Caenorhabditis elegans: one gene and its partner. The protein of the gene in region 2 purifies or fractionates together with the protein of the main gene of each other region. This does not show direct contact. Each region holds a gene or a part of one and is shown on either strand. Other genes may lie near its edges.

Region 1 (5,161 bases), on a different chromosome or scaffold from region 2:
AAAATTTACAAATTCAGACAAATTCTCAATTTCTGTGCTGCAAATCGCTGAAAATTCGCTTAAAACCTCTTTTTTTTACCGAAAAATTCAATTTTGAGCTCAAAATTCTTGAAATTCGCTTTTTTGTTTCTTAAAATCACAAAAATCTCATGAAAATTCACAATTTGTAAATGAAAATTTTAAAATTCGCGGTAAATTCAGTTTCTGGGCTAAAAATGCAAAAAAACTTCATAAAAATTCACAAATTTTAGCTGAAAATCACAAAAATCTTACGAAAATTCACAATATCTGGACTAAAATTGCTCAAAATTCCGATTAAAGAGGTCAATTTTTGACCGAAAAATTCAATTTTCAACTCAAAAATCCGACTTACTGAATAATTCCATCTTCAATCAGAATATCAGCTACAAAAATCGCATCGTCATTGACAATTTGAGCATTTTTGACGAGCAAAATCGACATTTCACCGCCGCCTCCGTTGCCGTCGTCTCCACTATTCTTCTTCTCAGCAGCCGACTGCGCAGAGCTCTCACCGTCTGCCGTCTCTTCAATCGCCCCACTATTTCGTCGGTCTGTCGGCGTCTCTCCATTTCTTGTACTATCTCCGTCTTCGGAAGGATGACCCTTTTTGGAGGAAGAAGAGCCATTGTCGTCGTCGTCTTTTTCGTCCACTTTCGATTCGTATTGAGGCTGGAGAAAGTAAGAGATAAAGGATGAAGAAAAGAGAAGCTTTTTGCAATAAAATTGACAATTTTATAGGAATTTAAAGCTTTTTAGAGTAAAAATTGGGTAAAAACATAGAAAATTAACACTTTTATGTTTAAATTTTGCCATTTTCAAGCTAAAATTGCCTGAAAATTGCTATTTTTAGGGCTTTTAGAGAGAAAATTGGCTGAAAAAATTGGGGAAATTGGTTGAAAAAAATCACTCTTAAAGTTGTAAAAATAAGCTTTTTGCAATAAAAATTACCAGTTCTATAGTAAATTTTGAGCTTTTTTGGAGATTTTTCAGGCTAAAATCGCCTGAAATTTATAATTTGTATTAAAAGAGCTTTTTGCTGCAAAATACTGTACTTCTAGAGCTAATTTTCAAAATTGTGAAAAATTTGACTTTTCTTGTGTTAAAAACGTTATTTTAGAGCCAAATTATTGAAAATTGCCACGAAAAGTGGAAAATTACACTTTTTGCAAAAAAATTGACAGCTTTAGGAAATTTAGAGCTTTTTAGAGAAAAAAATTAACTAAAAATCGCTTGGAAAATTAACAAAAGTGCAATATAATTGGCAGTTGGAGCAAAAATTGCTCAATAATGTGGAAAAAAACTAGATTTTAATTTCTATTTTAGGAACAAATTGCCTGAAATCGGGGTTTTCTTTTAAAAAATCTGAAAATTCATTTAACCTATAATTGTCACTGAAATTTCTGAATTTCTCACCATTTTTCTATTTTTTTCTGCTCAAAATTTCGCGATTTTTCAAACAATTACAGTGAACATTAATTTTTTAATTGTTCTCCAGGTGACATCTGTTCAAACAATTCTCTCTCCCTCCGTCACAAACAAACAAAACGCCGCGAAAAACTTGCTAAACTATATCAAAAATTGATGGAAAGGACACAGAAAAATGGGAAAACTCGTGAATAAATCACGAACCTCTTCCATTTCTTGAGCTTCAGCCTCAGGCTCTTCCTCATCGTCAACGCCGGCGCCAATATCTGGACCGGGAAGCGATTCGGCGGGGTTGAAGCTTTTCGGGTAGCTTTGAGGATCTAAAACGTCTTCTTTCGCTTCTTGCCAATCCGAATCGAAGTCTGGCGTCGATTTTTCTCCGCGCAACACCTTTTCCGCCGGGCAGTTCGGGTCGGGGGGTAGTTCTGTAAAAAATTCTGCAATAAATACTTATTTTCTACATTTTTAATGGTTTTAAACACAGATTTGTGGCTTATAAACCACAAATTCTCTCGAAAAATCTGATTTTCTCACCAATATCCGTCATATCCATCTGTTCGAACCCTTCAAACCATTCTGGGCCAGGCTGAGAGAGTTTAGCATTGCTTACAACACGATCGGATGGCTGAAAATCAAAAAAATTGAAGAAAATTGCAGGAAAATCGGTTAGAAATTACAAAAATTGGGCTTTTAAATTTCAAAAAAATAACTAAAAAAAAACAAAACTCGTCGAGACCCACGTTTCGCAAAGTGATGTGTACCTTTAAAGTTACGGTAGTTGATAATGAAGGTTTAAGAGAGTTTTGCCTGGTTTTTGGTATATTTGACATAAAAAATTAATGAAAATTGGAATATAAAAATTATTTTAACATATAAAGTCAAGAAAACATTAGAAATAATGGCAAAAATCCTAAAAACTAAAGAAAAACAATTTTCGTGGCGAAACCTGGACTATATAAATTGTGATGCGCCTTCAAAGATTACTGTAGGACACGTTTGAATTTATTTTTCTATTTTATTTTATTTTTTCATTTTTTCTTCTTTCTTTCCGGGATGTTTTCGATTTATTCTAGAATTTTTTACTGTAAACACAAGTTTTTATCAAATTTTTCGTAAATCAACGTGGTTTTGCCCTGAACATTGCGACTTTTCGTATCCTGCGACATTAGAAGTTAGAAAAATTTTTAAACTCACCGCGTCGGCTGGGTTTTCTCGTTTTGATGGCGCTGGTGACGTGCTGCCTCCGCCACCAAATAGCTCCTAGAAAATTCGATTTTTCACCAAGTTTGCTAGAATTTTGATTTTTTAAACGGGAAACCCACCATCATTGCCGACGACATCTCGAGACCCTTGTTCTTGTGCCGCGCTGGAGCCGGAATCGCATCTTTAACCGGAATCGGAGAGGATTTTCCTTCGGATCGGGCCGACGTTGGCAGTGAGGACACACTCGTCTTTTTAACAATTGCCGAGCTTCGGCTGTTCGGACGGCTCCCTAGCTTATTCACTCCTAAATTGGGCAAAAACTTCGCTTAAAATTACGGGAAAACGTGACTAATCTAACCTTCACTACTCCTACTTTTATTAGAAACAGTCTCCAGGTCATCCAGATTCCTGAGCGTTGGAATTACAGATTTCTCGGTGCCAGTGCTCGATGGAGCTCTAGAATATGGAGAATCTGCTAGAAATGTGATTTCTACGTAGTACTTTGTGCCTTGTTGCTCTCTAAAATTGGATTTAATTGGAAAAAAAAACCACGGAAAACGCAAAACTTACACATGATTTGCTGATCGAATTGGTGCTAAAAACGGGAACATTTTCCAGTGATGTCCGCCAACTATTTGGCCCTCCTCTAGTGATAAATGTGTATTTTGCGCGCTTTCTGTAACGAAAAATTGGGTTTTTTCAATTATTTTTAGGTTAAAAAGAGGTAAAAATGAAGATTGGAGGAAAAAAGACGGGAAAATTTCAATTTTCGGATTAACTATGGTAATTGCGGTGGTAAATCTTCTTTAGAAATTTGCAAAATGTGACTTTGGGGGAACTTTCGAGGGGAAAAAACAAAATTTCCAGTGGTTTTTCAGGGGTTTAATCAAATTTTAAAGAAAAATTCATAAATTTTGAAATTTTTCTACGGAAAAAATGGCTTTTTACACATATTTTATGTAAATTTAGCAATTTTTAGTGTGAATTCTCTCACGAGACTAAAAATCTTATTCCTGCAGGAAAAAATCTAAAAATACAACAAAAATATTGTATTTTCAAAAAATAATGTTTTAGTTTTTCTAATGTTTTTTTTCTTAGAAAATCGATTTTTTTGCAAATCGAAAGAAAAAAATCTTCAAAAACCCAAAAAATGCTCCAAAATTGAAAAAAAACTAAATTTCACATCAAAAAACAGAGAAAATTGTTTGTATTTAAAAAATAAGAAAGCTGTAGAAATTTCTAAAATTTTCACGAATTTTTTCCAGTGAATTTCCAAAATTGAGATCAATTTTCTGGCTGCTTTCTAGAGAAAATTGACAAAAAAAAGAAAAAATTCAGAAATTTTTGAAGAAAAATCCTAACTTTTCTTTAAATAAAAAACCTAAAAATAAAATTCTGAAATTTCCGAAAAAAGGAAAAAATCTGATTTTTTAGAGATGAAATTTCTTGCAACTCTCTGAAGAAAATTAAACAATCCAAAAAAGCTCATCAAGAAACAAAGAAAAGTTGTCCCATCCCCACAAAAAGGCACGAAATCGATGTGAGATGGCCCCGAAAGCGGCGGCGGAAAGCCTCCGGGGAGTGTTCTCTGTGTTTCTCTCCGTCTCCGGCTCTCTCTCTGACTCATTCTCTCTCCACGAATACCATGTCAGAGACGCAGAGGGGGGTCACTATTGGTTTCTCTGACGCTCTCTCGTCTCTCGCTTACAATGTGTCCGCCGGAGAGGTTTCCGCCCGATTTATCGATTTACAAGCATCCATCGGGGATCGCTTGGAGCTCTGAATTTTTCGAATTTCCCGCATCTTTTTCCGATTGGATTTTTTTAGTTTAAAACCGCCCGCGGTCAACTGGTATTGCTGTGTTTATATTGAAAAAGAACACAATAATTTGTTTATTTCGCAACACACACCGGGTGGTGTGTCGGTATTTCAAACAATGATTCATCAAGAAAGGAAATAATCATAAGATGACAGTCTCCGTTTTTTCTGCTGATTTTTTGAGAAAAATCAGCAAAAAATTGAGATTCTCATTGCTTTTTTCTCGGAGATTTTGCACTAATATTCATCGAAATTCCGGATTTCGCGGATTTTTCATGAAAAATTTAGAAAATCCTTATGTACAGTAGTAGTGCTTCCGCCATTTTCTGCTATTTTTGGTGAATTTGTCCCGAAATTTGAGTTTTTAGCTGATTTTTCACGAAAATCTAGAAAATTCTAGAGGCTTCGATTTTTCCACCGATGCTCCATTACTCATACTCCGTTCTTTGTTGATTTTTTTTGAGAAAATCAGCAAAAAACTGAGATTTTCATTGCTTTTTCTAGGGGATTTTTTACTAGATTTTGTCGAAATTCGGGATTTCGCGGATTAAAAAAAATCGAGAAATTTCTGATTTTCAGTAGTACTTCCGCCATTCTTTGCTATTTTTGGCTGATTTTCACTAAAAATCAGCACAAAATCCTGTTTTTCCTTCTAATTTACAAAGATTTCTTGCTAGGCTTCGTCGAAATTCTG
Region 2 (4,993 bases):
GGTGGACCGGATTTTACCGTAAAGTGAGACCGAGGAAAAAGGTCAAAGAATGATAAAAAGTAGCCTACAAAATCGTAGTTTTCTATTAAAAAAATATCTTTGCACAGTACTTCCCCAAATTCAACCAGATCAAATACTGAGCGCTAGGAATTTTTTGAGAGTGCCGTGAGAGAAAATAAAATGTAGGAATATTGTAAGAATATTTAACTAGTAGTAGGAATATTTTCTTCAAAATACGAAAGAATACAATGTTCCAAAAACTTGTATACTTTTGAAATTTGCAGTGAAATTTTCGGTAAGTTGGCAAACAGTTGTCAAATGTCAAGCTTTTGGATAAATTCTCAGAATTGTTGTATTTTTGAAATATTGCCATTCTTAAATTTAAAATAGTTTTCAAAAACCTTTATTATGCGAGCAGTAATAAATTATCTGAACTGATGTTTTCAAACTCACCCCTGATGACTTCCTTCCATGTCCAACCATACTCTTTGCTCGAGTCCTTGCGATTTTACAAGCCAAATGTGCAATGTTCTCGTTATCGTCACTCTTGGCACCAAATGAAAAAACGAACGTCGTGAATCTTGACGTACTCAATGCACATCGGATGAGTTGACACACTGACGAGTCCCTGTAAAAAAGGAAAAATTTCATTTTAACATCTTCTACTTTGACACATTCTAACACTTGTCAAACTTTCAATTCCCTAAGAACCACTGCTCTATTTCTGCAGAAGCGGCAGCAATTTGTTATTTATTCTCTCGGTACGAAGAATTCAAAAAGAAGGAAAAGGAGGATAGTCAAAAGAAAAATAAAATTCATTTCGTTCCCAAGGGAGCATGCCCAAGCAACTTTTGAAGGCGGTGACCGGAAACGCAAGATTCACCGACAAAAGCATATGGATTGATTAATTGGTCATTTCTTATGCAAAAAGTTGGACAAATTTTGAATATTTAAACTTTTCGAGTTGAAATATTACAACTACTTGCAATAAAACAATTGAGATGTTTTTTTTTTTCATTGTCCACCTTCCTGTTCTCATTACTCTTACAATCCCCCGATTTTTATATTCATCATTCCCCTTCCCCTGCTTTCTCTTTTTTTCATTGAAAATGTCATCACTTCACCGCCTCTTCCTGTCTCTACCAAAAACATCAGGAGGTACCATCTCTCAACAGTGAAATAAAAAAAGACACCAATTCATCTAATCCCTCGTGTGGCTCGTGGGCGGCTCTTCTCTTTGATGTGTCCTGAAGGATCCATGTTGGAAGAGCGCGGCGCCCCTCTCCTACACACCTCCTACTTCTTCCGCGCGCGCAAATAACGATCCATCGACAACTGGTTCAATAAAAAGTGGTAATAAATAAATGGGTGACTAGACAATCTTCTCTTAATCTTTCCGCCGGTAAATGAAGGTTGATTGAGATGAAGTAGAGGGCATAATGAACAAAATTGGGGGAGGACCGCAGAATATGTGTGAAACTCTGATGGATCTTCCTTATACTAGAAGCTAGTAAAAATTGACTACTTGAGTGCCTACAAGGCAGACGTGACGCCAAATTAGAACGCTCCATTTAAATATGGGGATGAAACAGTGACTGGTGATTAACTTCTAGGATTTTTAAATCAATTGTTTCTCACATTGCTCTAAACTTTTCTCGAAAAATTAAAATTCACCAAAACTGTGTTTTTTGGTAATAAATAATAAAAGTGAGTAGATTGTAACAAAATTCTCACGAGTCCTCCTACTTTAATTGAATATTCAGGGTTTTATGAACGCTGTATTTCCAGATTTCTCCAGGTACACTTTTGATTTGCAGACCAATTTTTTAAAAAAATATTTCTTCAAAATACTCACCTTGATGGAATATGTTTATTTCTTTGAACCATTGCCAAAAGAATACTCCCTAATGCTGGCATTGTCATTCCTCCATTTGTTGAATTTCTCTCACCAATTCCCATATCCAAGAAACAAAGTCGACGACGTCCTCCTTGCATTTTGTCACCCATTTTATACGAATACAAGCTTAGTGATATGAACACGTGGCTTGTTCGATGGGTATGCTCGTCTTCTGAAACTTGTGTATAAGACATTTAGATCATGTTTCAACTCACGAATCATTCGATGATCCACTGCAGTATTCAAATAAAATAATGCCTGATCAATGGTCTCGACACGAATTTCACTCTCATTATCGATAAATACTCCTGTTCGAGCATCATCCACTATTTTAACCACTCGGTGACGTGGATCTGGATTGAATGGACTTAACAAATCGACTATTGAAGATTCATTTTGTGACACCATAATTGCAGACATTCGAACTTGTATTCGTTCTTCCGAATCTCTGGAAATAGGAAATTTAATGGAAATATAGAACATTGAAACCTACTTGTTATCATCAAGGGCATTCATTAATTGAGTGATGGCCATTTGAACCAACCCGTTTCTTGAAACGCTGTTCCCGTAGAGACGTTCGTCTTTTCCTGAACATTTCTAGTATTCGATGAGTTTCAAAAACATTCTTAATGTAATCGTAAATAGTATCTCCATTAGAAATGGAGGAAAAATTGAAAATTGTATAAGTTCTTCAAATTTGAAAACGTTACTCTCCAAAATAATTACTCACCATTAGTTTTAGCTCCCATTGCTAAAACTGTTGCATCATTTCCAGCGAATACTGAATTTATTGTATCCGATAGAAATGCCGTATACATATCATCCTGTGTAGCATCTGTTCTAAAGATATGATCAAATGTCGTTTTCGAATAGTTCTTTCCTTCGATTTGCAAGTGTTGATCAGTGAGACTGCACCGACCATGTGCAACATCTTCACTGCTTATACTGGCACATAGTCGAAGCTGAAAAATGTGTTAATCTCAATCTGTGAATACTAGAAATGTTTGCCAAAAAATTAGCAAACAAATAATTCAACAAAAAGCTTACTTTCGGAATCGTTCGCAACGGCGAATGAAGAAGCAGCGAGGTCTTACTGCTGCATGCCTCCATTCATAAGGTCTGAAAATATTCATTCTAATCCGCAATTCGGGAAGGAACGGGCAACGGAAATCAAAGAAAAAACCAAAGAAAAAGCAAAAAGAATGTCGCGGGAAAAATTTGCGAGGGAGGAAAGGGTCAGTCCTGATAAAAGACGGACAAACCGTTATCATCAAAGTGTGTATGTGTGTGCCCATATAAGCGTGTCTGCATAAATAATCAAAAGAGGTAGATGAGTCTTTTCATGTTACCGACGAACACCTATTGAGTAAAATGAGGTGGAATGTGGGAAAACGGAAAGTGTTGCTGGCACGGAGCCAACTTTTTGAAAATTGTGAAACAGACCACAACTGATTACACAAAAAATTATGATAAAGCTCTATAAATCTTCTCTTTTCTGCTTAAACTGTAGTACAACGCTCCAAATAATTACTCAATAAGATGAGATATACAAGTGAAAGAAAAATTGAAAGAAGTAGTAAATTTACTCTTTCGCGAAGAATTTTCAGCTCGTTGAAATGTTACTTCGTATGTGCAATTGACATTCTTTAAAACCACCGGAAACCAAAAAAAACATAAAAATTCTACGAAACAGTCTGACAATAGAGTAAATGATATCATCAGTTTTCCACCAAAAAGTACCAAAAAGGGAACATTTGAAAAGAAGACCATTTCCCGCCAAAAAGTGAGTCAACACTGCATCGGAAAATGGAGAACTCTCTGACGCCCTGGCGATGGGGATGAACGATACGTACAAACCCATTCATTGTGGGAACTTTTTTTTTTGAATTAAAGCAAATGGGTAGAGTGAATATTATAAGGTCTTGCCTTTTGGATATTTAAATATAGTTTTGGTTTTATGTCCCTGGACGGGGTCAAGTTCCAAAAGTCATTAAAGTACCACGTGAACAAACCGCCTGGTATTTATAAAAGAATTATTGTCGATCTGTGAATTGCACATTTCCCAATTCAAAAGTCTAGACAGTTTAGGTAAACATTTTTGGTATCGAAAAACAGAAATGTATAACATGAAAAATTCTATCAAAAACTGTCAACTAAAAAAGACTAAAACTAATAATCATAATTTTTTTTTCAAAAATATCAGTAATTTTCTGAAAAGAAAGCAAATCGAAATTGAAAGTGAGAAGAAAGAATAGTGGTAATTTGACCTCCCCTAGGAATGAATTGAGTTGAGAAGAAAAGTAGTGAAAAGATTTTTGAGACGAGTGATGGGCGTGAAACAGGGGAAAGAATAGAAAAATAGTGCAACACATTTTTTTGAAACAAAATTTAATAAAAGAGTAAAACACAGAAACTACAGTTGGATGTATCAGGTGAGGAACGGGTATCATAGAAAAATAGTGATTACTGTAAGTATACTCCAGGAGATACTAATTTTTAGATTATTCATTGCGAAAATTGATATTTTCAAACAAATAAACAACTATGAAATTTTATCTATCATGTCAGGCAAAAAAACCGTTAAAACAAATGACCAGAAACTAGGAAAACAAGAGCTCTTATAGATGAAAAAATCATTTTGCATTATTTCTCGTGGTTCGGGAAACTAAACAGGTATACATTTTTTAAAAATTAAATCTAATGGAAACATAAGAAAATACAAAATTCAGTCATCTGGAGAATCCAAAGGAAGTGATCACATCTGTTGAGCACATTTCCTTCTTTTTTCAAACATCCGGTCACTGGTAGAATCTTTGAAACTTTTTGGAGTTTTAAGGTCAAAGTTTGAGATTATAACTTACAAGACTGTAGGTACAAGCCACATATCAAGAGTGACACAACAAAAACAACAACAACACTAAAAATAAGAAAACCGAAAAAAGTGGGCGGAGTCTCCGTTCATCTTTACGCAACACATGAAAGAAAAGAAAATAGAAAAGATGAGTAAAATGTATAGAAAGAGTTGGTTTCCTTTTCTTCTTTCTATCCACATCTTCTTTAGAAGGGTGGAGTCTTGAAGAAAGAGAGATAGACACA

Evidence for each region.
Region 1: the proteins of vab-8 (region 2) and unc-33 purify together in Caenorhabditis elegans (affinity purification with western blotting, with the first as the bait; one study listed by BioGRID). This does not show direct contact.

What each region holds. Positions count from the first base shown.
Region 1 is NC_003282.8:3,514,985-3,520,145, reverse strand, and holds the start of unc-33 (Protein unc-33), read right to left. Parts: upstream 3,261-5,161; coding exon 3,220-3,260; intron 3,169-3,219; coding exon 3,008-3,168; intron 2,954-3,007; coding exon 2,769-2,953; intron 2,707-2,768; coding exon 2,641-2,706; intron 2,072-2,640; coding exon 1,981-2,071; intron 1,872-1,980; coding exon 1,651-1,871; intron 691-1,650; coding exon 374-690; intron 1-373. UniProt on the Caenorhabditis elegans protein: During neurogenesis, plays an essential role in axonal guidance and outgrowth by regulating the polarization of both microtubule and actin cytoskeletons.
Region 2 is NC_003283.11:12,211,350-12,216,342, reverse strand, and holds the start of vab-8 (Kinesin-like protein vab-8), read right to left. Parts: upstream 3,017-4,993; 5' UTR 3,008-3,016; coding exon 2,945-3,007; intron 2,860-2,944; coding exon 2,628-2,859; intron 2,485-2,627; coding exon 2,391-2,484; intron 2,346-2,390; coding exon 2,113-2,345; intron 2,070-2,112; coding exon 1,856-2,069; intron 1,540-1,855; exon of another isoform or gene 1,427-1,539; intron 1,366-1,426; exon of another isoform or gene 1,222-1,365; intron 629-1,221; coding exon 454-628; intron 1-453.